3 linked regions of the Cricetulus griseus genome follow. The main gene of each other region encodes a partner of the protein of the gene in region 3 in a complex. Links are inferred from orthologs where the notes say so. Each region holds a gene or a part of one and is shown on either strand. Other genes may lie near its edges. The genes, in order: Gdf11, Tgfb3 and Tgfbr1.

Region 1 (9,926 bases), on a different chromosome or scaffold from region 3:
TTAGATGTGGTGGTATGCATTTGGATTATTGTCACTCTGATCTCATCAGTATCTTTCTTGCCCCAAACTACCCTCCTAATCTCTGAACTTCCATTCCTCATCCCTACTCTACTTTAAGGGAGAATATCAGAATCTGGGATCTTGGAAGAACAAAGGGAAAAGATGCTGCAGATGGATATGGTGTGTCATGATCTGAGTATATAGTCATTAAGTGCTTTCTCCCTCACCACATTTGAAGACTCCTCCTCCTGAGGAGCTATCCAGAGACAACAGATGCTAAGTTCTCCGTGATTGTACAAGTATTATATTTGGGTGTGACAGGCAAGGGCCTAGACATCACCATACTTACATGGCTCCGGAAAAACCTCATTCCATTCTTCCTGTCTACAGTGAGAATGGACATACCTGTCCAAAGGACACATAATTTAGGGCATCTCTAACACACTTGCCAAGAGCTAGGAAGAGCTAGGCATTGTGGAACATGCTATAATCTCAACACTCGGTAAGATGGGGGGGGGGGGAACACGACTGCTGTGAGCTGAGGCCAGCATGGGCCACTTAGTGAGTTCCAGAACAGCCAAGGACACATAACAAAACTCTGTCTCAAAACAAAGACTGAAAAGAGCTTAAGGAAAACTGAGAGGAGCTGGAATAGAAGTAGAGGGATATATTGAGAACCATCCTTGAGAACCTTTAAGATCTTGAGCAAGGGAAAAGGGCCAAAAGGTAACCTTCGAAAAGACAAAGAGGCACCTGGCTGAGCAAACAAAGGGAACTCAATGTTAAAAGGATTGACGTGGTGTGTTAAGTGTTCTTCCTGATGCTTTGGACAAGTAGGACACTTCACGGTCTTTCTTTCCCCCAGAAGCTGAGTTGAGTGTCTTAGCTGGCAGTGAGGAAGCAGCAGTGGAGAGACGACTGAGGAGTCAGACACACAGGGAAGGCTTGGTAGTTCCATTCTGTAAGGTGTGCTACTGGGAATAGGGAGCCTAGATCTGAATTCTGGTTTACTTTATAAATTTAGCCCACACTCCACCTCTCTGAACCCTGGGCTATTTCCTCTGATGCTTCCTTTGCTTTTTTTTTTTTTTTTTTGGTGGGGGGTTGGGGAGTGCTGCCAGGCTCCACCTGCTCACTAGACAAACCAGGAAGAAATGGGGAAAGGAAACTTGAGGACATATAGTATAGTAAAGAAAGGTAGAGTAAAGAAAAAACTAGAGACCACTTGAGCAGCACCAGAGGCAGAAAAGGCTTCAGGTGAGGGAGACTTGGTAACCACCGTAGCAGGTCATTTGGTAGATGGATCCTCTGTGTTAGGAGAAATGGTATAGGGAATGAATATAGATCAGTAAGGCCCTAACAAATTTATCATCCTAGAGATGAGATCTTAGGTACGAGAGACATAGTAGCTAACCAGACAGGCACAGGAGATCTGGAAAACAGGCTGAGAAGAATCTGCTAAGGCCACCCAGGGCTGCTAAACCCTTCCACAAACACCCTTTGCTGATGCTGTGCCCCCTTCTCTCTTTATCAGCGGACCCTGCAGTGCAGACAGATGGCAGCCCTCTCTGTTGCCATTTCCACTTCAGCCCCAAGGTGATGTTCACAAAGGTACTGAAGGCCCAGCTGTGGGTGTACCTTCGGCCTGTGCCACGTCCAGCCACAGTCTACCTGCAGATCTTGCGACTGAAACCCCTAACTGGGGAAGGGACTGCAGGGGGAGGGGGTGGAGGCAGGCGGCACATCCGTATCCGTTCACTAAAGATTGAGCTACACTCACGTTCCGGCCACTGGCAGAGCATCGACTTCAAGCAAGTGCTACACAGCTGGTTTCGCCAGCCACAGAGCAACTGGGGCATCGAGATCAACGCCTTTGATCCCAGTGGCACAGATCTGGCTGTCACTTCCCTTGGGCCAGGAGCTGAGGGGCTGGTGAGCAGGGGGCCTGTAGTGGTGGTGTGTGTAGGAGATGGGGGTTAGAAAAAGTAGATCAGAAATATGGAATTGGGGCCAGGAACTAATTCTGTAGGTGGAGGTGGGGTGGCAAACTATCACTTTTCATGGTTTTAAGCCAGGATACAGCTGAAAACTGAAACTTGATTTGGGGTGTAGGTGTTAGTGGGAGACCCGTGGGAACACAAAACTGACCCTTGTCTGGGTGGGGTGTTATCTAATCCTAGCACTAAGGAGGCCAGCTTGAGCTATGTGAGATCAGTATCTTAAATCAAAACAAAAAACCTGGCCCTTGATGATCCTGGCCCTGGGCCAAGGATCTCATGAGGTCACATTGCCAGGAAAGGAAAAATTAGGGAAAGGGAACAGAAGAGATAGCTAGATGGCAAAAGGAGTGGGTAGGTTGGTCTGTGGGTGGGAGCAGTGAACACACAAAGATGTCAATGGTTTCTGATCTGATGCTCCTTTTGAGATGCAGATAGGAAAGAGAAACTGTTCAGGGCTATGTCACATCTCTTTCCCCTCTCCCTGACCCCCAGCATCCTTTCATGGAGCTTCGAGTCCTAGAGAACACAAAAAGGTCGCGGAGGAACCTAGGCCTGGACTGCGATGAGCACTCAAGTGAGTCCCGCTGCTGCCGATACCCACTCACGGTGGACTTTGAGGCTTTTGGCTGGGACTGGATCATCGCACCTAAACGCTACAAGGCCAACTACTGCTCCGGCCAGTGCGAGTACATGTTCATGCAAAAGTATCCACACACCCATTTGGTGCAACAGGCCAATCCAAGAGGCTCTGCTGGGCCCTGCTGCACCCCTACCAAGATGTCCCCAATCAACATGCTTTACTTCAATGACAAGCAGCAGATTATCTACGGCAAGATCCCTGGCATGGTGGTGGATCACTGTGGCTGCTCCTAAGGTGTGGGCTACAGTGGATGCCTCCCTCATAGACCCTACCCCAAGAACCCCAGCCCTGGTCCCCATTCCCCCAAGCCCTAGAGCGCCCTCCACCTCTTCCCGTGAACACCACACCTTGTTCCCTGACCAAGCAGTGTGCAATACAACAGAGGGAGGCAGGTGGGGATGGAGGGGTGAGGGTTGGGAGAAAGGAAGGGCAGTCAGGGTGGAATGTATCTGAGATTTGCAGGTGAGAAGGTTTGGCAAGAAGACAGGTATAGAGACAGAGGAAGAATGATAGAGAGAGAGGGAGGAACAAACAGAGCAACACTGAGAAAGCAAAGGAATAGAGGCTGAAGATAAGAGTAGGTGAAGATAGACGAGGAGAAAGAGACTGAAATGGAAGAAAAATGAGAGTCCTGCCTCAAGCCTCCTTTTTTTCTACCAGCAAGGCGAGGCTTAGTATAGTTTGGGGAGTTCCCCTGACAACTCAGTAGGAGTAAATCAAGTCCATTCCTAGCTTCTTTCTCTCCTTCCAACAGCAGCCAGAAGTGGAATGAGCATGGGGCAAAGGACCTGGGAGTTTTTTATTTATTTATTTATTGTGACTTAATTTTTTTTTTTTTTTTTTTTTTTTTTTTTTGGTATTTGGCTTTACTGGAATGGGAGGGACCCTGCCCACTGTGCCCCATTGGCCCTTACTCCACAAACCCTGCTCTCCCGCATACCAACCTACTTAAGCACTTGTATTAAGCCTCCAGGGTTGGGAATGGGAGTAAAGGGCAAGAGGGCTAACACATGGAAGCTTCTAACCCATAATCACCCTAACCAACCTTCTTGAGCCAAATGGGTTGAGCTGAGTGGTCATGGAAACAGAAAGAAGTTCAGACTTAAGAGCTGGGGGGAGGGGAACCTCAACATCCAGGAACTATGAGAACTACTAAACTACCCCCCAGGCCACCTACCTTAATCTCGGTATTTAGCCAGGGGGTACAGCCTGCTTATTCCCAAATTCCCCTCAGCCAAGAGACCAAAGAGCCTGTGGAATGCCCCTGCTCTCAGCCTCTATCTTCAGGTCAATAAAAATTAGAAATCCCAGAGTCCCCCAGGTCTGGGAAGGGTTAAGGGTCAAGAAAATAGTAAAGAGGCTGAAGGTTACAGGGCATCTGAATCCAAATCACTGCTCTAGGCTAGGGAACAGAGCCAGGAGACCAAGGTGGAAGGGATTCTGAAGGGGGACATTTTAGTCCCCCTACCCCAAAGCTCAGGGTGGAAGAAGGGAGAACAAGGGAGCAGAGTGTCTATAATTTTATCTTTTATTTTTGGAATATAGCAGTACCTGACAGCAGGGAGGGGACAGTACAGGCATGTGACAAGGCCAGTTACAACAGAGGATGGGAGGATGGAGAATCCGTGGTTTGGAAGGTTTAGGAAGCAGGCAAGCGATTAGCTGCTACTTCATGTCACTAACTGGGCCCATCCGTTCCTCCCACAATCCTGACCCACCCTCCTCTGGACTCACTGTGCCTCCGTTTCTTCCCCTTGATGGAATGAGAAACAACAGCACCCGCCACAGTCAAGAGATGAATTCTGAGCACTTACCACGGGCACTTTATGGACATAAAATACCTCTCGCTGTGGGACTAGATAACCAGGGCACCACCATGGTGGTGAAGAGACGTGAGGCTTAGAGGAGTCACAGGCTGCAGAGCACAAGTCCCCCCTGCCTCTCTGCTGGACAATGCCTGAAGCCAAGGAGTTGAAAATCTCCACACCCTAACCATACCTCACCAGTGGCCTCTTGGCTCCAGACAAGAGTCTTAAAGAGGGTTCAGGAGTGGAAGTGGCAAAATGGTCATGAGTAGAGCCAGCCTTTATGGTAGAGAAAGTACTGAACTGAACCCTGGCCAGGAAGGTCTGTGCTTCCTAAGAGCATGTTTCTCTCACTTGGGCCAGACCATAGGAAGGACAAAGGTATGTGACTATCCTTGGCACTTAACTCCTATTCTCATAGTGAGAAAAGGAGGTAAGATGTCTCCTACGAGGAATGGACAAGGATTGTTAAGCCTTTCAACTCACTTCCCATGTAGAGGCTGTCAGTCCCAAGCCTCTCCTCTCTGGTCCCCTTCTTCATTCTTTTTGTCTACTCCATCTTAAAGAACAAGACACATTTGACCATCAACACCAACCACACTTCCTTAGTGGAGGAGAGGAATAGAAAAGCAGAGAGAAGATGCTTTCCTCCAAGGTCAAATGCCTCTTGATCTTGGAAAAGGTAAGGGTGGGATAATTAGGTATCAGGTAATCTCTATAGTTTAGAGAGCTGGGGCATTAAACTTTAAATATTGCCTCTTTATTACCACCAAGTAAATACCTTTCCAGAGGGAAAGAGTTCTCTTATGAATACAAACCTGAGTTAAGTCTCCTGGTCTTTTTATCCCCTAAGAGGCTTGAGGACATGGCCTAGCAGTTCAGTGGGACTGGCACTTCCTACACCTTACCTGTGTGGACTGGCCAGTGCTCCTCCTAAAGTATCATTGTTAGTGTAATTCTTTACTTTGTGTATTTGTTACATCATGTGTGTGATTGCCTTTGTTTGTTAAGGGTGTTTGAGGAGTACGGGCTGACAGGGGCACTGGAATGCTAGGAAAGGACTTCACTGACATCAAGGTTTCCAGGAAGGAACCATTGCAAAAAGGCCATCAGAGTTATGTGACAGAGGGCAAAGATGGCCATAGGGTGCTCTGAGTTTTGGGAGAGTCACATAACACAATCCAGCACTTGAACCTGAAAAAAGAAAAATAAAAGCAGTCAAAGAGTTTAGAGTTGAGCAGTGGGTTCTTCTCCCTGATTGAGCGTCACGTTTATACCAGGGAGACTAAGAACTAAAGAGGCTCTCAGAGAACCTTTTTAAGGAAAAAGGACTAAGAAGATGAGGTCCATGGGGCAAAACAGGGAACCCTAAGGGCATGGGGAATGATGACAGGGACACACAGACTGAAGATGGACAGAGGCTGGGAAAGGGAGACGGCAGTCCCAAAAATTATGACAACATCTAGTCCCCCACAGAATGAAGAATCTAAGCATTGAAATGATCTAGCAAAGAGTCTCTTGCTTTTCAGTCCTCTAATCCTGGCTGCCTCAACAGTATTACCAAAATCAAGCTGGCCGCTCCCCATTACAGTTAGGTGCTTCTCTGCCCATTAGCTCTCTCTGTCAAAGCTTTCCTGAGCTAGACTAAAGGGGGCAATGCCTGGGCCTCTCCTCAGTTTCACCCACCTGCAACCCCCCAAAAGAAGCCAGACTGCATAAGCATTGAGTAAGCATTTATATATACAATGCCAATATGTATACAGAGGCCAAGATTAACCCACTCAACACCCTACCCCCATCCATTAGCTGGAACCTACTTGTTGGGGCAGGGGGTTCCTACTTACCCTAGATTTCAATTTTACTCTAGTAAACTTCAGAGCTAATACTCACTGGAAGATTTTATGTTGTGCTTGCTTTGGCAGCACATATACTAAAATTGAAACAATACAGAGAAGATTAGCATGCCCCCTGCACGTGGATGACACGCCAATTCGTGAAGCGTTCCATATTTTTGAAAAACTTTGTTTGGTTATATAAACTATAGGAAAAAGTAAAAAAAAAAAAAAAAAAGACTACTATGTAAACTACATCAGGAATGTGTGCTAAGCACATGATAATGTCATTTAAATCTTACTATATTTAAATCACAATAGTTTGGAAAGAGTCACAGAGCCATTAAGTAATTTGCCAAATCAGGATGATCCAGAAGTAGAAGGTAGAGCAAGGAATCAAACCCAGGTAGTTCACATGCAATAATGTTTTAATCTGTTTCATCTGTTGTTAAAAGATATTAAGAGGTGGAAAACTGAATTCAGGGACAACAGAAAGTGAAAAAATTGAGAAACACCTTGGATCCAAAGGGTTTGGCAGGGTACAGAACCTTTTCCAAAGTCTTTCAAGAGAAAAAAAAAAGTGACTTTAGTGATGGGGATGTAGCACAGATAATAAGAATGTTTGCCAAACATACATAGAGTTCCTGCCCAGCATCTCATGAAACCAGGCATGTTGGCACAGGCCTGTAATCCAAGTCCTATGGAGTAAGAAGCAGAAAGATCCAGAAATTCAAGGCCACCCCTCAGCTTGCTTCATAGCTCATCTGAGGCCAGCCTGGGCTATAAGAGACTTTGTTTCAAGAAGAAAAAAAGAAAAGGGAGGTTAGATTTTGGAGGGCTTAATAAACAGGAAGTAAGTACCACTGTTTATCAGAGGCCTTGTACAAAAGAGCAGTTAAGAAAAACTTACATGTAGTTCAAAGCCAGCCTGGTCTACAGAGCTAGTTCTAGAATGCCAAGGCTACACAAAGAAACCTTGTCTCTAAAAACAAAACCAACAACCAACTTATTCTAGTTGAGCATGGTGGCACACACCTTTAGTCCCAACACTCGGAAGGCAGAGGCAGGAGGATCACTGAGTTCTTGGCCAGCCTGGTCAACAGAGGGAGCTCCAGGATAGCCAAGGCTACACAGAGACACTGTCTCAAAAAAAAAAAAAAAAAAAAAAAAAAAGAAAAGAAAAGAAAAGAAAAAGTCACCGTCTCAACTATCTCAATTCCCTCCTCCCCGTTTCTCACATCAGACTAACAAGTCTCAAAGACTCTTGTACCTTCCTTCCTATAGCATTCACCCATGACCCTTTGAGCATTCTTTCTACCTTAAGCAGTTCTCAGAGCTGGCAGAACCATAAAAAGGTATAGCTTTATAGCTAAGGAATCCAATCCTCACTGAGGCTTGCACAGACCAGACCCCTTAAAAGCTTCTGGGGAATATCGATGCTCCATCAGGACTGGGAGAAGGATGGTGCCTGGGTCCCAAACCCAGATGTCTGTCTAGCCAAACAAAATGGACTTAGGTTTCAAATACTCAGTAAAAATTTGGGCAATCTGAGCGGGGTGTTGGTGGTGCACACCTTTAATCCCAGCACTCGAGAGGCAGAGGCAGGCGGATCTCTGTGAGTTCGAGACCAGCCTGGTCTCCAGAGCAAGTGCCAGATAGGCTCCAAAGCTACTCAGAGAAACCCTGTCTCAAAAAACAAAAAAAAAAAAAAAAAAAAAAAAAGGCACTCTGATCTACTCGAGATAACTGTGTGGAATGACTAAAAGGACACAGAAAAGGATGTTCAGGCTTAGGAGAATCCAGAAATGGAACAAAAAGGGCTAATCAAAATAAAGCCAAAAGTGGTGGTATACACCTTTAATTTCAGCATTCAATAGACAGAAGCAGGTGAACCTTGAGGCCCTATTTTTTGGTTTAAGATTTGAGTAAAGCAAACTAAAACAATGAATATACCTTACAAGAAGACCTGGGGTGAGTCAGTAAATGCCTGATGCTCAAGTATAAAGATCCTGAGTTTGGAGCCTCAGTGCCCACATAAAAAGCTAGGTCTAGTAGCATTTGTCTGTATCCAGCCGAGCTAAATCAATGAGCTCAGTAAGGGGCCCTGTCTCAATAAATTAAATGGTGAGCCATCAAGGAAGAAATCTGATGAGGATCACCAGCTTCAACAGGTACACATACCCACCACATGAACACATGAATACATCACACACCCATAAAAGTAAAACCACAACAAGAATCTTAGCCAGGTGTGGTAGTAATTCCATTACTATTAATAATCCTAGCACTCAGGAGGCTGATGTTAAAGGATGCTGTGAGTTTAGAACCAGCCTGGACTACAAAGTGAGACACTGTCTCAAAAATGAGGGGTGTGGGGCCGGGCGTTGATGGCGGACACCTTTAATCCCAGCACTTAGGAGGCAGAGGCAGGCGGATCTCTATGAGTTCGAGGCCAGCCTGGTCTCCACAGCGAGTGCCAGGATAGGCTCCAAAGCTACACAGAGAAACCCTGTCTCGAAAAACCAAAAAAAAAAAAAAAAAAAAAAAAAAAAAAGAGGGGTGTGGGAAGAGCAGAGAGAACCCTGGGTTAACCTGAGTATGTCTCTGCAAGGTTACGGAGGATAGAGAGATAAAGATCAGAGCTGGGCTGTGGTGGCACACACCTCTAAATCCAGCACAAGGTGGGGGTGAGGGTTTGGATTGGGCATGACAGATCTCTGAATTCACAGCCAGCCTGGTCTACAGAGCAAGTTTCAGGATAGCCAGGGCAACAGAAAGAAATCCTGTCTCAAAAAATCAAAACAAACAAACAAAAAAACCACATGTACCAGGAGTGACTTTAATACCAACATTCAGAAGACAGAGGCAGGTAAATCTCTTGTGAATTTGAGGCCAGTCTGGTCTAAGTAGGGAGTTACAGGCCAGCCAGGGCTACCTACATAGATACCTTGTCTCAAAAAAACATACCCCACATTGAAGCCCCCCCACACATTCTATTACCAGCATTGAAAGAATCTACTTCAATAATAAATAATAATAAATCAATTATTTATTTATAGTCATTCTGGAATATAAATCCTAATGAACCTATACTCTTGTCTCCTAATACAAAACAGCATTCTTGTGGTTTTCAGATGAAGACCCCCATGGAGAGGAAAAAAAGTAACTGGAGGTTATTTATAGACTTGTGTAAAAAGAGAAGGCGGGGCTAATAGAGGAGAATGATGGGAAGAGAAACTCATCCAATTACATCATTTATTTGGCTGAAGAGGTGACAAGTTTAATCAACTTTTTTTCCTGTTCCGTTTTCCTAAGGTCTCAGAGGAGACAAATTTCACAATAATAAATGGGCAACCTTTGCACATTCGCCAAGGCACCAGTGATGTTTCCCTTATTGTCTACACTTAGGTTCCCACCTGTCTTAGGAGCTGGTAGCCAACCAGCTGGCCTTGAGTTTGCAGTGACCCAGCCGACGGTGCCCCATAAGTGTTGTGATTACAGGCACACATGCTTCATGGTACAAGACTGAAATGTTAGAAAGGTTAACTTTCTATTGATTACAGACCCAGCTAAAGTTGGGGAGAAATAAGGACAAAGATTTACATCATAGAAATGCAAGATTTAATTATGGTAGCAAAGTTTTCAAGTC
Region 2 (9,836 bases), on a different chromosome or scaffold from region 3:
CCAGGCTGAGGCCCAGGGCTGCCTGGAGCTCTCTCCAGGACAGGGGGAATCAGGTCCTTCCACCAGTGTGCCATGACTCATATGGCCCACAGTTTATCGGCATACAGAGCCAGGCTGGCAGGATGTACCCAGTGTCAGGCTGGCATGGTAAGGAAGCACAGGCATTTTGCCTCTCAGTGAATGGAGGATCATTGTATCTACAGTGCCTTTTGTTGTTTGTTCTTTGGCCATGACAACTAGGTGTGTAGTATCTCAGCTGGGAATGGTGGCACAAACAGTAATTCCAGCACTAGACTGAGGCAGGAGGATCAACCACTTCCAGGCTGGTCTGGTCTGTATAGTGAGCCCTAGTTTACAGCAAACAAAAAGTATAGTGTGGGCTCTCTCACCGGAGCTCACAGCTCTCTCTCCTGACCTTGAAATGACTACTCGCTGTGGGTGTCTTGGGTAAACTACTTAATATCCCTAACTGCAGTGACCTCCACTGTACAATGAGCTAATGATGTTTCTAGTTGATAGGAGTTTTTGTTTGTTTGTTTGGTTGGTTGGTTGGTTGGTTTTTCGAGACAGGGTTTCTCTGTGTAGCTTTGGAGCTTATCCTGGCACTCGCTCTGGAGACCAGGCTGGCCTCGAACTCACAGAGATCCACCTGCCTCTGCTTCCTGGGTGCTGGGATTAAAGGCGTGCGCCACCAACGCCCAGCTATAGGAGTTTTTTGTTTTGTTTTTTGATACAGGGCTTCTCTGTGTACCCCTGTCTGTCCTGGAACTCGCTCTGTAGTCCAGGCTGGTATTGAATTCACAGAGATCCTCTGCCTCTGCCTCCCGAGTGCTGGTAAAGGCCTGCACTGCCACCAACCTGCAGTTTATAGGATTATTATAGACTAAATGAACTATTGCTGATAAATTCTTAGAGCAGTTTGGCTGAAAGTAATGTCAACAAATGTTGGTAATTGTCATCACCTCTGAGCCCTCTACCTAAAGAGAGAGCCGTAGGCCAAGTTAGGCCACTGTCTCATGCTGGCCACACACACTCTGACCTTTCCTTTTCCAACATGCCCATATGCACTTTCACTTTCTAACACCCAGAATCGTAGAACTTGCTCACTCTAGGTCTCTTCCGCCCCACCTTGCACATCCTTGAACAGGAAGTGCTGTGTGTTGCTTATTGCAGCTACCATGGCTTCTTCCAGCTTCCTAACACCAAGAAGAGGGCAGACGTCATGCCTGGTCATGTCTCCTCTATTGTCCCTCAGCTGCCTGGCTATACCGACTTGTCTCCATGACTGAGCAGACCTGGAACAGAGACCTTCAAGCTTAACAGCTGCCCTTGAAGTTCTCTTTGGGACAGAATAAGGAGAACTGGTTGGACATTGGGGTTTATGGAGGAAGTGAGTTAGTTCCTCACCATTTTGTCTGAGTTCATGTCATCTGGATCCTTGGGATGCCAGGCTCACCACCATGGTGACTGGAATCACCCTGCCCATACCAGTTTTGCCTGGGAGAAGGGTACTGAACCAAATGGATTTTGGGGTGTTCTCTGATGACAGTAGACTTTAGGCAGACATCAGTTGGTCCCGAGACCAGATGACTGTTAAGGTGACTTCAGGGAACAGTAAGCCAATTGTCTCACTGAGATGTTCACCTGGAAAGGTCCATCTTTTGTGATCTCTGTTACAACAGCCACAGCTAGCTGCTGCCCTAGGATGCACAGAGCTCTAACCCACCAGGATTGACACTATACCAGCCTGGTTTTCTCTGTGACTATTTGATTCGGTCAGACTTTTTAGTTACTTTGTGTACATGTATTTGTGTGTGTATACATGCAAGTGTGTGCATGTGTCTGTACATACATGTAGAAGCCAGAGGTCAACCCCCTCTGCTGTTCTCAGGATAGCCATCCACATTGATTTTTTTTTTTTTTTTTTTTTTTTGGGAGACAGTCTCTCATTGGGATCTGAGGCTCACCAAGTGGCTCCCCAATTCTGGGATTACAAGCATGCATTACCACTCCTGGCTTTTTACATGGGTTCTGGGAATTGAACTCAGGTCTGAATGCTTGTGTAGCAGGCCCTTTAAAGACTGAACTATTGTCCATGCCTTCATTTCCTTCTGTTTTTCTTTCTCTCTTTACTTCACCCGACCCCTTTTCTCAAAGTGTTGCTTCGATTTTGTTTACCAAAACATCAGCCCACAGCCAAGAGGAGAAAAGGCCTGAGTTGGCCCTTTGGAACTCAACATCAACAAAGCCCAGCACCTCTAGGTTTCCCCAAGTTCGTTCGGTTGAACTCAGGTCATCTGGACCCTTGAGCATAGCTCTCTAGAGCCACTGCTGATAGACTGACCATTCTGTGTTCACACCTGTGTCCCCATGCAGCCATCCAGTCCCAACCTCCCATCGTGGTGACAGGCTTCTCAAAGAAACTCCCAAGTCATTTTTATCTCACTAAATCTTATTCCTTAGAGAAAATATGACCAAGTATAACCACAGTTTGCCTCGTACATCCTCTGGCATAACTACTTTCTTAATCTCCACGGTGATGGCAGCAATATTGACATTATTTACAAGAACCCTGAATCTCGAGTAGTGTAACTTCTAGCATTGATTTCTGATTCCCTCACCCCGACCCTTGTCACTCCCACCCGTCTCCCCCACCCCTGACACTCAGCTTTCCATTTTGTGGCCTTTAAATACCTCTCTGCCGATAGGTTCCTTAGTTACTCACCTTAGGCCCTGCCCCCAATCCCTGGTTCTTCTATCCTATTCTGCAGACTGACTCAAATACCTGTTCTCCCAGAAGACACCTAGCCGGTGTGAGCTTTTCCTTTCCTTCTTGTGTCATTGCACTTTGTTTGGTTTTTCAAGACAGGTTTCTCTGTGTAACAGCCCTGGCTGTTGTGGAACTCGTTCTGTAGACCAGCCTGGCCTGGATCTCAGAGATCCTCCGCCTCTGCCTCCCAAGTACTGGGATTAAAGGCGTGCGCCACCAACGCCCTGTGTGCCCTTGCACTTTTACCCCATGTTTGTAGGCAACAATCTCTTTATAGTATCCTTTGAAAATGGGTGACTATTTCTATCTGCCTCCAATATGCCTGCTACTAGTCGTTCATAATGTAACAGAAATACACAAGACTGTGGCACCCTGTGCAGGAGGTTCACTCTGGGGTTTGGAAGCAATTTCTGTCACCCGTGACTCTTACTATAACTCACTTCTCACCCTTGCCCAGATGGTGGGTGTGCTGCCTTGTCACTCAGTGTTTTCCCCCTGACTCTGGGCCTTATTTTGCAGAGTCCAACTTGGGTCTGGAAATCAGCATTCACTGTCCATGTCACACCTTTCAGCCCAATGGAGACATACTGGAAAATGTTCACGAGGTGATGGAAATCAAATTCAAAGGTAATGATGCTGAGGTGTGGTGGGATGAGGAAATGGATAAAACAATAGGGGACCCCTTAGAGAACCCAAGGAAAAGGACCAATTTCCCTCATAGAGATGGCCGTTTGGTGCTTGGGTGATTTTTGCTTAGCCCTCAAAGCCCTGAGTATGGCCCGAGTTCCTCTTGGACAGAATACATTAGCATCTAAGAGGCAGCAGGATTCTAGGGAGTGATGAAATCACACAGGCCAGCTGTCCAGGGAACTAGGACAAGAGCACCTCTTTCATAAGCTCGGCACACAAAATGAGGTAATAAATACACACCGCTAAGCCAATGCATGCTCAACCAATGAGCTATCTTCCCCTCTCCTCAAGGAAATGAACTCCAGTGGGCCTGAACATGAGTGCCCTGACTCCCTGAGCTTTCAGATGCTGCTGGACCTTCTTGGTCCTTGCCCAAGAATTATCTGAATTAAGACGGTTGATTGCCCGCTTGAGTGTTTGACCACATGCGTTTATATAGCATTGGCATGATAGTTGACAGGCTTTACAATCTCAATGTCTAATATAAGTGCATTTTTTTTCTGGGGTTCAGGGAAACTCTCTTTTCCTTTTGTGTCTCCATTTTGGGCAACTGAGAAATGCAGTGGTCAGGCCATTTGCCAGAAAGTGAACACTGCTCTTGGCCTAGCGTAGATCTTGGGCCTGGACCTCAGCAATCCCTTACTCTGAATGGGCCCCACCTCAAACGGGACAGGGGACTACACAACTAGGGTTCCTATTCATCTTATATACACGAAAGCCCCTCCCTAAGATCCAAGTTCCTCGTGTAAATTACATTTCTGGAGCTCCTGCCCTGGTAAGGATGGTCAGCAGCCAGCGGCTGTCCTTCACAAACGAGATTCCCCAGTAGAACAATAATTCTAATTTAGGCTTCTCCTTTTCAGCTGAATTTGGGCTCTCTTCCCAAGCCTGTCTTACGCTCTATTACCTCATCTGAATGTTACAGTGAAAACACCCCTGACCCTCTAAGCCCCAGGTGACAATGGCAACAGCTCCTATGTCTGGTTTCTTTGGCTCCCACACAGGCTATCTCAAACTGTGACACTGTCAATTCTCGATGGGACTTCTGTGGTATCTTGACAAATTCAGACTCTAGCAGGAAACCCAGAGTCTCAGAATGACTCTCAGAATCTAGTGGCAGCCCCAAAGTGTGTGATAGGTGCCCATCTAGTGGTGGGAGATACTTCACAGCTCCATGAGGGAGCCCCGGATGCAGCCATCTCAGGAAGGGCAAGGCACTCTTGTGCAGAGTTGTGACGGCATCTGGAAGGGTATCCATGGTAACCTTGAGTACTACTGATGCTGGTTGCTCCACTCAGTCTGTGCCTTCTCATGGGGTGGGGGATGGAGAGGGAGGGGACTTGTCCTGTGTCCTCCTCCTTCATAGACTGTGCCATCCATCATCCTGACTGGGCAGTGATAGGCTGAGACAGGGTGTGGAAGCAGCCTGCAAGGACACTACTTATCTTAGACAGAAGGCTGTGGCCTTGCTTCCCTTTATAGGAGTGGACAATGAAGATGACCATGGCCGGGGAGACCTGGGGCGCCTCAAGAAGCAGAAGGATCACCACAACCCTCACCTGATCCTCATGATGATCCCTCCACACCGACTGGACAGTCCAGGCCAGGGCGGCCAGAGGAAGAAGCGGGCCCTGGATACCAATTACTGCTTCCGGTGAGCCTTGGCCCTATAGGGAGTGAGGTCAACCTTCCCTCCTGTGGCACTGGCTTGAGATCTGAGCCCATTGAGCCAAGGGTCTCCAGTAGTTTTCACAGATGTGCCTAGGAAAGAAGACTGGAAATCTCTTCCAAACCTCTTTGTTTTTCTGGGATCCCAGAATTTTCTGTAGCCTGGCTCTGCTCAGGTCTGGATAAAGTAATGGAGGAGGAGAATCTGGGATGTTGGCACTGGCGATGCCTGGGGAAAGCCTCCTCATGGTCTTCCTGCCTGAAGTGCTAGCAAGGTGTGTTTATATAGGGCTGGGGGTGGGGCGCGAGGGGGAGACTAATGCAGGAGTCCCCTGAAAAAGAGTTTGGTTCTCTATTGTCTTTCTTTCCCGTTACTGCGATAAAATAGTCACCAAACATTAGCGTTAAGAGAGAAAGCTTATTTTAGCTCACATTTCCAGATTATGTCCATCACGGAGGGGACATCAGGGTATCAGGGGCTTGAAGCAGCTGCTCTCATTATATTCAGCCGAAGAGGAGAAAATTGAATGCTACTTTCTCCCACTCCCCTGCCTAGGGAATGGTCCTGCCCACGGGGGTGGGTCTCCCCTCCTCAATTGATGTGATCGAGATAATCCCCGCAGGCATGCCCAGAGCCCTTCTCGCAGGTGATGGTGGATTATTTCAAGCTGACAGTTAACAGGATCCATCACATCTATGCAGGGTTGGAGGATGCTACTGGATGGGCAATGTAGGATGTCTCCATTCATGGGGGAGCTCTTGAATTATAGATATTACCAATGGCTTCAGAAGGGACCTGCCTTCAGAAGCTGCTCCTGCTTGCTTGCTTGCTTCCTTCCTTCCTTCTTTCCTTCCTTCCTCTTCCTCTCTCTTTCTCTTTTTCTTCCTCCTCCTCCGGCTCTTCCTTCTACCCCCTCCCCCACAACAGGGTTTCTCTGTGTAGCCCTGGCTGTCCTAAACTCCCACTTTAGACCAGGCTGGCCTTGAACTCACAGAGATCTGCCTGCCTCTGCCTCCCGAGTGCTGGGATTAAAGGCATGCGCCACCACTGCCACCGCCTAGCCTGCTGCTTCTCTTCTTTATAAACAGCTGGACTGCTCACAGATGTGGGAGGGATGAGGGAGCCTACATACCCAGGGCTAACAGGAAGAAATGACATTGGGAGGGGGTCTGACGGATCTTGCACACTGGGACCTGGGGGTGCATCCATGGACACAGGAAAGGCTGGAGTTGGGCAAAGGATGGGTGAGGTTTGGATGTATAGGGATCCAAGAGCAGGGTTGGGGGGTGGCACCTCCAGGGAAAGGAGCAGCAGAAAGGGTCAATTGGCCAGAGAAGATGCCTGAATGGAGTTGGGGTGGGACAACTAAATATACTGTTAGAGATGGCCAGCTCAGGAAACAATGGGAGAGGTGGTGTGTGCTTGCCACCACCCATTCCAAGGCTGGCTGTAGGTTTGCTCCATGTATCTATTTGTCAGCCAGGATGAATGCACTTAGCTGTGGACAACAGTAACTTCAGCCCTAGGGGATTTCTTGTGGCAGACTTGAGGTTGGTCTAGCTGCTTGATTTTGCCCTTGGAAGAGATAGACATTCTGATCTCTCCTGGTTTGCCTAGTGTGCCGACTCTTCAGCTTCTTGCCTGTGGTCATGGGGCTTTCTAGAACACCAGGTGACTTGTTTGTGCTTAAGAATAAAGGGAGGGAAAAACCAACAGCCTTCCTGTCCCAGCTGTTATTTTTCTAAATAACCAAGTATTTTTGCCAGAACTTGTCCTACTCCCTGCCAACTTCTTTAGTTCTGACTGGCCATTAATCAGGTCACATGACCACCCCTGCCTTCAAGGGTGGCCAGGAAATTGAGTATCCCTGGAATGGAAGGAGTCATAGAAGAATTGGGTTAGGAATGGTTATTTAAAAGGTAAACAATGGAGTCTATCATGGTTTGGTCTTTTTTGTTTGTTTTGTTTGAGACAGGGTTTCTCTGTAATAGTCCTGGCTGTCCTGGAACTCACTCTATAGACCAGGAGGCCTCAAACTCACAGAGATCCACCTGCCTCTGCTTCCCAAGTACTGGGACTAAAGACATGCACCACAATGCCCAGCTATGTTTTAGTCTTAAAATCTATAAGAAATCAGATTTTGGCCAAAGTTGCCTTAGGAAGCAGTGACTTCATGTTGTCTTCAGAAACTTGTTGAAGCTCACGGTATTGCCCAGACTGAGGAGGGATTGCTAAGTGAATTTCTGCAGACAACAGGATTGGAGGGGCCTGATAGCCCCTTTCAGGTTCCCAGGGAGTCATTGTTGTAACCAAACACACTTGAACCAGGGATTTGGTGGACTAGGGTTACCTCCTATGATGGCAGTAGTACTTACGGCAAGGAGAAATAGAAAGATATATGTTAACTTTTTGTAGTCAGTCTCTCTCTCTTTTTGTTTATTTCCTATACATGTTTTTATTGTAGCAACTTGGAGGAGAACTGCTGTGTCCGCCCCCTCTACATTGACTTCCGGCAGGATCTGGGCTGGAAATGGGTCCACGAACCTAAGGGTTACTATGCCAACTTCTGCTCAGGCCCTTGCCCGTACCTCCGCAGTGCAGACACAACCCATAGCACGGTATGGAGCAGGGTGCATGCTCTCTGGGCACTGGGGCACCACTGACTAGGCTACTTATCCCTAGGAGTGAATGAAAAGACTGAATCTTGAGTGATAATATTGGATGAGCAAAACCCCTGTAATAACATTCAGATCTTGGCAGGCTGGCCCAGTTCTACTCAGTCACACTCTGAAATCTAAACTCCTACCGCAGGGGCTAGCACACTGGTAAAAAGTATGCTTAGCATGTGCAATGCTCTGGATTCAGTCTCTAGCACACATACTTAGATGGACATGCACACAGACACACATGGACACACATGCAGAGTTCCTACTATAATTTCAAGCATCCCTTTTATTTCCTTTGTACCGTGGAAGTTATTCAACTGTCACATGCCACTTTGTGTCATAGATGTGCACACCTGGCTGGCCGGATGTGGGGCCCAGAGAGGTTTCCATCTCTGTTAAGACAGCTTAAAGCACTTAGGAAACAATAGCAAGAGAAAGAGTGGAGGGTCCATACCTCTGCAACCTGCCTTCCTCCAGGGGGACAGAGAGCAGGGCAGTCATCTGGGAAGCCCATTTTCAGATAGCACACTGCTGCTGCCTCCTGTCTGGGGCACGCATTCTGGCAATTAACAAATGTGCCTAGGCAGTGGTGAGTGAGAACATTTTCCACCAACGTGGAAACTTAGAGTAACCAATACCTTTTGCTTAGCAGCCAAGAGTTTTTTATCAATTGCAAATCCCCAGCAATGTGGCAGTCTGCCTCTGCCCCACTGGATGACTGCAACTAGTCTCTCATCCAAACTGTTCCCACAATGCATCTTAAACAGCCTCCATGACCACTCTGCTACATGCTCACTCAGAACAGCTCCCCTTCCACCAGAAGTCACAGTTTTTTGGGTACAGGCTCAAGGCTTGGTTGTCTTTTGCTAAATATGTGACTCCATCCATAGGTGCTGGGACTGTACAATACCCTGAACCCGGAGGCATCGGCTTCTCCGTGCTGTGTGCCGCAGGACCTGGAGCCCCTGACCATCCTGTACTATGTTGGCAGGACCCCCAAGGTGGAGCAGCTGTCCAACATGGTGGTGAAGTCGTGCAAGTGCAGCTGAGGCCAGCCTGCGACAGAGGAAGGAAGACTGCCACCACTGGCTGCGGCTCCTTGGGAAACCAAAGTGACAGACCTCAGTCTAGAGGCCTGGAGCCCACGAGCCCTGGCTCCTGGCAAACGGCCGAGAGGGAGGCTTCCTTCTGGAACATTTCTTTCTGCTAGCTCTGAGAATCACTGTGGTAAAGAAAGTGTGGGTTGGTTAGGGGAAGGCAAACTCTTGAGAACATGGAATTTCTGTGGTGCAGACAGAGGTGGTGGGGTAGAGAAGGGATGGTGAGCCCACAGGGTGTGGGGTAATGGGACTCGTTAGGGCTACCCTAGGGAGGACATGGGGTCGAGTGGCGGCTAGGTGAGGGCCAGACTGGAAGGCACTTGAGATCTGAGGTCAGCTTTGCCCATTCAAGTACCACATCTGCTCTAGGGGATCGGGATGTCGTTAGAGGTGGCAAGCATTTTTCTTCAGACAGGTCACCAAGACGAAGTCCCCCAGAATCATCTTTTGCACTGCCTGGGACGAAGGACACTCTGTTCTTTTTGCAGACTGCCCTCTCATGCCAATTAGCATCATCATGAGTCATGACAAATAATGCAATTAGTTTCTGGGCTAGCAACTAGCTATCTCGGATCCTCTGGAGATGCGCAATTCAAAAGCCAAGGTCAGAATTTGTTCTCTCGTGTCTTCCCTCGGGGCCTCTCCTTTCGCCTTCTTCCTTGGTCATATTTGCCCGTGGACATTTGGCTAGACACCTTCCAGGTCAGGGTTCGCTCTCTGGATTCTGGGTCCACGCAGCCTGGGGCATCAGGGATCATTTCCCTCTTACCCTCTTAGACTCCACGCTCCCCTGGGGTTCCTGGAAGCAGGTGCTACATGCAATAGTATCTGGGGTGGCTGCACGTGTCTGACACGGTGATTTGGCCCCAGATGCACAGACTGAGGTATAAAGACGAACTCAAATATTACTCTCAAAATCTTTGTATAAATAAATATTTTTG
Region 3 (9,979 bases):
AGTACTGGAACCCCAGCACTTGTCCACTCCAACATTTCACAGCTAGGAGTCCGTTAGCCACCATCCCAGCACAAGGCTTGAGGGTTTTTATCCAAGAAAGACTATCTCTATCACTATATTACCAAGGCTGGCTCTATAGCCCAGGCAAGACTTGAACTTGTGACCTTCCTGCTGGCTTCCTGATCAGCTAGGATTAGAGGCCTATGCCAGCAAGCTTAGCCAGTTCCATACTCTTACATGTTTCAATGAAGGCTTTTATAATTTATTTTTATTTTATATTCATTGGTGTTTTGCCTGCAAGTATGTCTTTATGTGGGAATTAGATCCCCTGGAAGAGGAGTTACAGACAGCTGTGAGCTGCCCTGTTGGTGCTGGGAACAGAACCCCAGTCTTCTGGGAGAGCAGCCAGTGCTCTTAACCGCTTAGTCATTTGAAATAGCAATAAGTACACAGAAAACTAGTAACCATATTGAGAAAATAACATACAATGATGGCATTAATCAGCATACTGTAATGGTAACTGTGCACTGTACATGTTCTTAATGTTAACCAATTTCTTCCTGCCTAAAGGCCATCTGTCTTTAACTGCTTCAGTTATTAAATATGTGTGTGTGTGTGTGTGTGTGTGTGTGTGTGTGTGTGTGTGTGTGTGTGTGTGTGTGTACTTCAAGTCCGAGTTCTCAAGTACCCAGAGATAATTTTACCCAAAGCACACCCTCATCTGTCAAGTTCTATCACATGAAGATCCTGAACACACTCAGCTTGCTCCTCTCTGGGTCTACACATTACATTTTGCTTGAGGTGTCGTACAAATTTTTTTTTTTACTCTAAGAAAATCTTAAGGAAAAGGAAAGCAGCCTTTCTCTTTAGGCTTGCTTTCCCCATGCATTAACATTTGGGCATGTGTCCTACCTGGACATTTTTTCTAGGAATGTTTATGTTTGGTATTTTTCCAACAATAAACAGTAGAACTTTGTAGAAATTACAAAAGTACGTGAGGGACTTCTAAAATCACAAAATACCACCGTGGTATAATTCCTTGGGGCCCCATGAAGAGCTCTAACATTGTTGCTATTTTGAGACAGGGTTTCATGAAGCCCAGGTTGGCCAGAAGCTGGCTGAAGTTAAGTTCGAATTCCTGTTCTTCCTGCTTTTACCTCTGGAATACTGGACTAAAAGACCTGTGTACCACTACCCTGCCTTAAAGTGGTATTGGGGAGCAATCCCTGGACCTCAGGTATGCCAATCTTGCACTCTACCAACTCAGTCACACCTGAGGGAGCACACTGATGTCAGTGGAGAACTTCTGAGGTGTCCAACTCTTCTTTCTTTTTCTGAAAGTTCATCTACAAAACATCAAGTCTGGAAGGCACATCCTGCTGCACTATCATCCTAGTAACAGCTGTCAATAGAACCTGTACCCAGACTGTTGGAAAGTACCCCCTCCCTCCCTCCTGAGGAGTAGTCCTACTGAATCCTAGGAATACAGGTCATACATCTGAAGCTCTGCAAGACCGTACTGAAGCTCCTCACCTTACAAAGGGTGCTAAGCTCCAGAGAACTGATGCAGCCTGCCCACATCTGAGTCTGAAAGGACCCAAGCCTGCATTGACAGTCCTCTACATTCTTGCCCAGTGTTTGTCATAGTGCTTGGGCTACATTGGCTAAAGGGAGGCATTCATTTCAACAGCAGGCACTTGACTTCATATGGCAGATCTAACAATGTCCAGACACCACTGACCACTGCAAATGTTTCATGGCCCTTTTTATAGTCTCAAGAAACAAATTATTCTATTTTTACTTATTTGTTTATGAAAAAGAAAAAGAAACCAAGAATTTTTCCTTATAGAAGAGTGACAAATTTCTGCCTCCTAAGTAGAAACAGTTTAGTAAATAGCCTAGTATCAAAAGGAAACACTCACTTCACAGCTCTGCCATCTGTTGGGAATATTTGGCCTTAACTTCTGTTCACAAACTACTTTTCTCATTTCTTCAACTGATGGATCAGAAGGTACAAGATCATAATAAGGCAGCTGATAGTCTTCATGAATTCCTGTATTGGTTAAAACAAAATCCAAATTAATCAGCTCCTGCCACATCACTGGAAGGATTACTTGAGAGGCTCATTACTGTGGCCCATCTCTACATCCAGTAGGTGAAGTGAGGTTCACAAATTTATGTATCTCACCCACATCTGCATCAATAACCCACCTACTTGAGTCATCACTGGGCTTGCAATTTTTGTGAAGGATAGTGTTGTCAACTTGACAAAATCTACCAATCACCTGGAAGACAGACCCGTGGGCATGCCTGTGAGGGATTATTTTGATTGGGAGGACACATCTTAACTATGGGCAGTACTACTTCATAGGCAAGGGATCCTGGAGTGTATAAATAGAGAAAGCAAGCCGAGCACCAGCATGCACTCACTGCTCTCTGCTGCTTGACTGTGGATGTCATGTGACCAGCTCCCTCAAGCTTCTGCCACTGTGACTTCCCTCTATGGTAGCTGTAACTTGGAACCACGGGCCCTTCCTCCCTTAGAATGCCTTTGCCGGAGCATTGTACTACAGCAATGGAAAAGAAATCAAGGCCATTTTGAACCTAGTGTGCTGTGATAACCAGGCTGACACTCTTGACTACAACTCCACCAGACAGAAGATGCGGATATACTCTTATTAGGAGATGTGAATCCCACAAGTCCCTTCCTCTGCTTGTGCCTGTTAATCTGATGTCCTATGCTATAACACCAAGCATACTCTATACATCACTGTCTCAAACTTTCAAGTTCTAAGTCTCACACAGATTCCTAAGCCTAAGAGACAGTGTCTGAGCAAACACTGACAAGTTCTCAGTCTAATATAAAACCAAAAGTTAAAACAAAATCTACAAAGTACGCAACATTAATAATGCAATTGTCATTATATGTCTAAGGATCCTCAACAATCAAGCTGGAGAAAACAACCAGTGTTAAAAAAAAAAAAAAAAAAGATGTAGCTGAGTCCATACTAAAAGCAATTTCTCAGGTGGCCTTTCAAACAACTAAATCCAAAATAACAAGAAGCTAGGTTCTGACACTCTCTGAGACTAAATAGCAACAGAACATGACTCTGGATAAAAGCTGTGTGTTGGTGAGGTTTATCTTTTGTTCCTGTGACATTCTCAGTGGTCACCTGTCAGACTGCTGACAGTAAAATTTCAGTCAAGAGAAAAGAAAACTCTTGACTAATTTCTCATGACAGATAACTGGGGAAAGGAGAGCGATTTACCACCAATGGAACAGCGCCGAGCAATTTCCCAGAACACTAAGCCCATTGCATAGATGTCAGCACGTTTGAAGGATTCAAAGTGTTTCATGTTTATGGAATCATCTAGGACTTCAGGGGCCATGTACCTAAAAAAGAAGCCAGCATTTCAGTCCACTACAAAACATATTAATTACTGTCTCATACACTGTCTTTTACTTCTGGTAAAAAGACACATGGGGTCTCACTATGAAGCCCCCGTGAAAAGTTACTATATATACTAAGCTGCTAAAAAAAACACCTACCTCTGCTTCCCAAGGGTCTGGATTAAAGGTGTACACTATCACACCAAGAAAACTTCTCTTTTTATTATAGTTCTGTTTTTAAAAATGATTCACTCTTCCTATTAAAAAAAAAAAAAACTTCCCAAGTATATAAAGTACAAGGTGAAAAAAAAATCACCCCCTTACCACAAGTGTTAACATGGGTCAGACCTCCTTAAACATGCACAAAACTATCACATAACTGAGATCATATCAGGCTCAAGCAAATATTAAGTATCTAAACTGGTTTGCAAATTAATGATGTTGACTAAATCTCATGAAATGCTGAAATGGCAGCTCCATGCCATCTGCCTTCTGATGAAGGTTTATAAAAGGCACACACTGAACAGCTGTGGCTGTTACCAATACCCTAATGTACATCACCCTCATCTACTATTTAGGGACTACATATTTTAATCTGGAAGCCTCCTCACCAAAACAGAAAAAAAAAAAAAAAAAACAGGAAAGAAGAAAGGGACAAACAGATAAAAGGAATGTCAGTCATGATGATGCTACATTACCAATTACTGGGTTCTGAAGTTTGTTTCTTTTTTGTTTGTTTGTTTTTGGAGACAGGGTTTCTCTGTGTATCCTTGGCTGTCCTGTTTCTCTGTAGACCAGGCTGGCTTCAAACTCAGAAGTCGGCCTGCCTCTGCCCTCCAAGTACAGGAAATCAAGTTGTGCACCACCACTGCCCAGCTCTATAGTTTCTAAAATCCTACTACAGCTACAGGTCCTTCAGACCACTACTGAGGCTCCCTCAGCCAGTCCCCCTGGAACCCAGAAAGTGTAATTATATTTGGATTGACTAAAGCTGCTGGCTTTCTCCAAGTTCAAGACATTAGCTGTGAAGAAAGGTTGTGAGTGCTTTTTAAACACAGTAAGACTTTGAGTCCATATCAGCTTGTCAGCCACATGAAGTGGGTTACTTTATTTAACCAACAAGGTGGTTGAATTAATAGTAACGACACCTATCTATGGAAGTTCTTTTGAGAACGCATGAATGCAAATATAAAAGTGTATTTGGCATTTCAACAAGTACCTGGAACATAAAACTGCTCTTAAGCTTCTTGCAATCCAATGGAATACACAGACCCAGACACATAAATGGTCAGTTAGAATATAATGTGAGAACAGTTAAGTAAATGCCTCCCTCAAATAGTCATTTATCATTGTGCTATGCCAGGAACATGTAAGGGTCCTGGGGACCAAAAAAGGCTTCCTTGAGTCAGGAGTGCTATTAAGGGGGATGTATGTTTTAAGGGCAGCATACACAAACGTTCTAAGGAAGAAAGACAACAGAAAATATGAAAACAGGCTTACTACAGTAGAAACTATAGCAAGTTATAGATGACTATTAGTTATTATTTGTGGTAGTTTGACAGAAAATGACCCCTAAAAGGAATGGCACTATTAGGTTGTATAGCCTTGTTGGAGTTGATGTGGTCTTGTTGGAGACGTGTGTCACTGTGAGGAGGGCTTTAAGTTCTCATATATGCTCGAGCCATACCCAGTGAAACAGACCACTTATTACTGTCTGTATATCAAGATGTAAATCTCTAGCACCATGTCTGCCTGTACACCACTATGTCCCATCATGAAAATAATGGACTGAACCTCTGAACTGTAAGCGAACCATCACAATTAAATATTTTCCTTTATAAGAGTTTCTGTGGTCATGGTGTCTCTTCACAGCAATAGAAACCCTAACTAAGACATTATTGCTCTTACAATTAACCTAGTTAATGATAATACTTTCTAGAAGGGTTGCTCTATCAACAGGTTCATTTTTAAGTTAGGTAACGAGGTTTCAAAGTAGCAAAGACTCTAAAAGCGTGTCAACAGTCTAATAAAGGACCAAGTTTGAGTTTCTGAAGAGATAGGAAAGAAAAGAAGTTGACATAAGGCATTACTAAACACCATTGATTCCTAAGTGTACCTTTTAGTGCCTACTCTATGGTTTGGAGCAATATCAATTGTATCTGTGGCAGAATCATGTCTCACAGCCAATCCCAAGTCTGCAATACAACAGGTTCCATTCTTCTTCACCAAGATATTCTTTGATTTCAAATCTCTGTGAGCAATAGCTGGCTTTCCTATTGGAAACCAAAAGTTAGACATGACTGCTTAACAAGTGACACCAATCACAATTTACTTTTAGATCTCAAAGCTTAGCCTGTCCCAGGATGAAGGCACTTGAGCTACATCAACTATAACAACTATAAGAACTACTACTAACCTCAGTGAATCACTGTGTCAAAAGGGATGAAGTTTTGTTTAAACCTTCAGACAATATAAATCTAAGAACTAAAAAACTAAGGTGAAAAAGTTGTTTGTTTGTTGATCTCTAAGTAAATCTCCAGACTTCTGAGATTTTCATTGGAAAACCATTCAAATTTTTAAAAGCTACACATTTCCAGTTAGGTTTCAAGTTTTGAATACGTATTATATTCACAGGAACTTAAGCATAAATAACAGGAATTATAGAAAGTTACCTTGGGTACCAACAATCTCCATGTGAAGATGGGCAAGACCACTTGCTGTGGACAGAGCAAGTTTGATCATCCCTTCCACTGTAACAGTGTATCTATTCAAGTAATCAAAAAGGGACCCATGCTCATGGTAATCCGACACCAGCCACAGCTGAGTCCATGTGCCATTGTCTGCAAATCAGAACACACATTTCAGTTGGGCTGCAAAGCACTTAGAGCCTACTCAGGCTGTTATCACTTTTCACTATCAATCTTGATCACACAACTGCAATATGATGTCACCTTAAGTTTGCACGAATTTCTTCCACATTCTTATATTCAATTTTATACACTGTTATGTGCATATATTCGACCCTCAGAATATACCCCATATTCTTGAGACACAGCAAGGATAAATAATTTAAGAGCAAAGGAATCATATTCCAACAATGTTGATTTCTTCATCCTACAGAGTAGCAGAGTTGGGGCTTCTGGAGCCTAGAAAGGTACCTGGGTCAGATTAGTGTTCATTGTTTGCTTATGGAGGAAGAAGGGCAGCAGGGAGTAGGAATGAGAAACATCCAGGGAGCCCAGCACAGTCTCAGCATAGATGGAATATAGCTTGTGAGAAAACTTTGGTGAGAATTGACAAGCTTTAGCGACAGACTGTAGAGTTCTCAGAGATGTTATTTAGTTGATTATAATTTCAATGTTGCTACCTCAGATAAACAAAAATAGTGGTACCTCTGATGCTGAGACAGGAACTGAAGTGTCAGAAGAGAAGGCTGAAAAGACTAAGACTGAGCCTCATTTTACACAAAGTGATTTGGAACCTACACAAAGTGGAATGTGGGTACTAAGAGTTCCTTGGTAAGCTGATACATGCATCTGAAATGTGTTTTCTCAAAGGAGTAACAGCAAGGATGCTAGTTAAATGCTATTTAACTGAGAAGTGAAAACAAGAGACAGCACAATTCAGTAAAAGATATACCCTTAAGTCATATACAGTTAGTTTTATGTCAACCTGACATAAGCTAGAGTCATTTGGGAAGAAGGAATCTCAACTGAGAAAATGTCCCCACTAAGTTGGCTTGTAGATGAGCCTGATGAATGATGGGGGGGAAGGAGGGAGCAGTGGCATTCACCTAAGGGCAGTGCCACCCCTACGCTTGTCCTGGGTGCTAAAAGAAAGTAGGCTGAGCCAGCCATGGAGAGGCAAGCCAGTAAAAAAAAGCATTCCTTCATGGCCTCTGTTTCAGCTCCTGCCTCCAGTTTCTACTCTGACTTCCTTTCATGTGGACAATGATTGTGATATGCATGCTGAAACAAACCCTGAAGTCCCCATTTTGGTTTTGGTCATGGTATTTTACCACAGCATTAAAAAACTAACTAAAACAAGTCATACTGACCCAGGCAGCAATCTAGGATCTGTATGCTATTGATTCCATGGCCTCAGACAAGTTTCTCAATGGGGTTATGCTTCTTTTATACAACACCAAACAACTTTGAAGACTCTTAGGATGTCAAAGAGAATACAGAACTAGATTTCTTTTTAAAGTAGGTAATACAATGTTTGGCACATGAGAACTTAAAATATGCTGATCCCTAATAGCTATAAACAAAAGAAAACATAAAATAAGATCTATAGAGGGGCAGGGGGAGGGGGAAGATAAGATCAAGAAAAAAGACAGAACTACAGAATCTGGAGAATCCTTTATTTTTCATTTTATTTTATGTTTGGGTGTTTTGCCTGCATGAAAGTGTTTTACCACTTGTGTGCCCGGTGCTCATGGAGGCCAGAAAAGGGTACTGGATCCCCTGGAACTGGAGTTACAGGCAATCGTGAACCACCATGTGGGTACTAAGAGTTGAACCTGGGCTCTGAGTCATCTTTTTAGCCACATGCAAAGTTATTTCTTGGTATTTCCAAAGAATACTGATTAGTTTTTTTCTTTTCTTTTCTTTTTTCTTTTTTGAACTGTTCTTCCTGAATTTCCTAAAGTCTTTTTCTTGGTATGGGTACACTACTAGCTCATGTGCATCTCTGTTAACTGTAACTGTGCTCTGAAAGTTCTGAAAGTTCAAAACTACAACAGATAGAGAACAGGGCAGGACAGGGAGATTTCCTGAGGTATCCAACCAGGGAAGAAGAGGGAAGAGGCTGTACATACAATGAGAGCAAGAAGAGGCTGGAGAGATGATTCAGCAGTTAAGAACGCATACTGAGGCCGGGCATTGGTGGTGCACGACTTTAATACCAGCACTCGGGAGGCAAGGGCAGGCTGATTGCTGTGAGTTCGAGGCCAGCCTGGTTTCGAGTGCCAGGATAGGCGCCAAAGCTACACAGAGAAACTCTGTCTCAAAAAACAAAAACAACAACAACAACAACAAAAAAAACGTGCATATTGTTCTTGAGATCAGAGTTCAGTTCCCAGCACCCTATTGGGGCAGCTCACAACTGCCTATAACTCCATCACCAGGAGAACCTATGCAACTGGCTTCCTTGGGCACCTGTACTCAGGGATACCCACACACAGATACACTCACATACATATAATTAAAAATAAATCTTTATTTTGTTTTGTTTAAGGCTGGCCTAGGCAAAATTAACCAAATCAAGAGGATTAAGATAAAGAGAACTGGGTAGGAAGTCTAGGTTCTGCTCATTAACACCCAATGAAGCAAAAAGGGATAGGAGAAAGCCAGTAGGGTCAGTTAGTTCCCACTGTGACCACCAGATGACAGCATCCACTTGACTACTGCTTGAACAAATGACACTTCAGGGCACAACAGGTTCAGCGATTTGCACTTATGTGTTGTAACCTGGAACATGCCTGAAATAAACCTAAAAGGGGGTTAAGCTTCAAGTGTAAACAAGAGTCACCACCATCATAGAATTAGACATCACAAATTTGGGTAAGTCCTTTAAGGGAACAATTTCTGTTTGTAGAATCACAGCCTTCTTACAGATCAGTCAGAAGAATAAGACTTGAGAAAAACAAATTGTAAAAAATAAAAGTAGGCTGGTATTGACACACACTGTAATCTCAGCACTGGGGATGGAGTGAGAAAGATCATGAGTTCAAAGTCAGCTGTGGCAACCTTAAAAAAAGAAAATATAGACAAAAAAAAAAAAAATACAAAAATACCTCAATAGTTGTGTGAGGGAACCAAACAGTCAAAACAGAAAAAAATGAGAGCCAGGGGCAGTCAGATTGTGATTACTACTTCAGTTTACTTCTTTGTTTTTCAATTAAATACTGAATTGTTGGAAGCCACGATAATCACAGCCTATTATCCATTACTGTTTCTACCACAATCACACACCATAAGCCTCCTGGTGTGACAGCTTACAAAGTTTACCACACAACTAGTGTGTATATTAGGAAACCAATGAAAACCAGTCAGCGTGTACTCTCTAACTGTTAACTTGATTGTAATTCCAGAAGCTTCAGAGACAAACCCTAAGTGTGTCTGTGAGGATGGTGTCAGAGAGGGCTAAATGAGGTGAGGAGACCCACCCTCAATATGGACAGCACTATTCCATGGCTGCATTAATAGGAAAAGGGGGACAGGGCACCACCCTCTACTTCCTGAATGTGATGCAATGTGACCATCTCCCTCATGCTGCCATCACCATTCCCTTCTTCATGAACCAAAAGAAATCCTTCCATCCTAAAGATGTTTTTGTCAAAATACATCCTAAAGATGTATTTTGTGCCAATAATAACGTAAGTTAACTAATATAGTCTCTAAATTTAATGTATGGTAAAATAAACTAAAATACACACACACACACACACACACACACACACACACACACACACACACACACACACACACACTTGTAAAACCCACTCATAACACCGACATTAGAAAAAGGGAAGGACAGCCTACTACAGGTCTCACCAAGATACAAATGATAATCACTGCTGTGGGG

The links.
Region 1: the proteins of Tgfbr1 (region 3) and Gdf11 are in contact, whole or in part, in a crystal structure (PDB 6MAC), measured with the Homo sapiens proteins. The link is inferred for Cricetulus griseus from reciprocal best matches to the Homo sapiens genes TGFBR1 and GDF11. Residues at the interface, in NP_004603.1 of Homo sapiens: Ile78, Pro79, Asp81, Arg82, Phe84, Ala87, Pro88, Ser89, Ser90, Lys91; in NP_005802.1 of Homo sapiens: Phe322, Ala324, Phe325, Gly326, Trp327, Trp329, Ile330, Met382, Tyr384, Phe385, Asn386, Asp387, Ile392, Ile396, Pro397, Met399.
Region 2: the proteins of Tgfbr1 (region 3) and Tgfb3 are in contact, whole or in part, in a crystal structure (PDB 9B9F), measured with the Homo sapiens proteins. The link is inferred for Cricetulus griseus from reciprocal best matches to the Homo sapiens genes TGFBR1 and TGFB3. Residues at the interface, in NP_004603.1 of Homo sapiens: His39, Leu40, Thr42, Lys43, Phe55, Met70, Ile78, Phe84, Val85, Lys91; in NP_001316868.1 of Homo sapiens: Ala301, Leu302, Asp303, Asn305, Tyr306, Tyr350, Leu351, Ser353, Thr357, Thr360, Leu364, Leu368.

What each region holds. Positions count from the first base shown.
Region 1 is NW_023276806.1:129,037,173-129,047,098, forward strand, and holds the end of Gdf11 (growth/differentiation factor 11), read left to right. Parts: intron 1-1,534; coding exon 1,535-1,932; intron 1,933-2,492; coding exon 2,493-2,873; 3' UTR 2,874-5,682; downstream 5,683-9,926. UniProt on the Homo sapiens protein: Secreted signal that acts globally to regulate anterior/posterior axial patterning during development. May play critical roles in patterning both mesodermal and neural tissues. It is required for proper vertebral patterning and orofacial development.
Region 2 is NC_048598.1:117,739,105-117,748,940, forward strand, and holds part of Tgfb3 (transforming growth factor beta-3 proprotein), read left to right. Parts: intron 1-3,289; coding exon 3,290-3,397; intron 3,398-4,942; coding exon 4,943-5,114; intron 5,115-7,593; coding exon 7,594-7,747; intron 7,748-8,685; coding exon 8,686-8,844; 3' UTR 8,845-9,836. UniProt on the Homo sapiens protein: Transforming growth factor beta-3 proprotein: Precursor of the Latency-associated peptide (LAP) and Transforming growth factor beta-3 (TGF-beta-3) chains, which constitute the regulatory and active subunit of TGF-beta-3, respectively.
Region 3 is NC_048595.1:96,012,018-96,021,996, forward strand, and holds part of Tgfbr1 (TGF-beta receptor type-1), read right to left. Parts: intron 6,232-9,979; coding exon 6,064-6,231; intron 5,665-6,063; coding exon 5,508-5,664; intron 3,395-5,507; coding exon 3,270-3,394; intron 2,054-3,269; coding exon 1,923-2,053; intron 1-1,922. UniProt on the Homo sapiens protein: Transmembrane serine/threonine kinase forming with the TGF-beta type II serine/threonine kinase receptor, TGFBR2, the non-promiscuous receptor for the TGF-beta cytokines TGFB1, TGFB2 and TGFB3.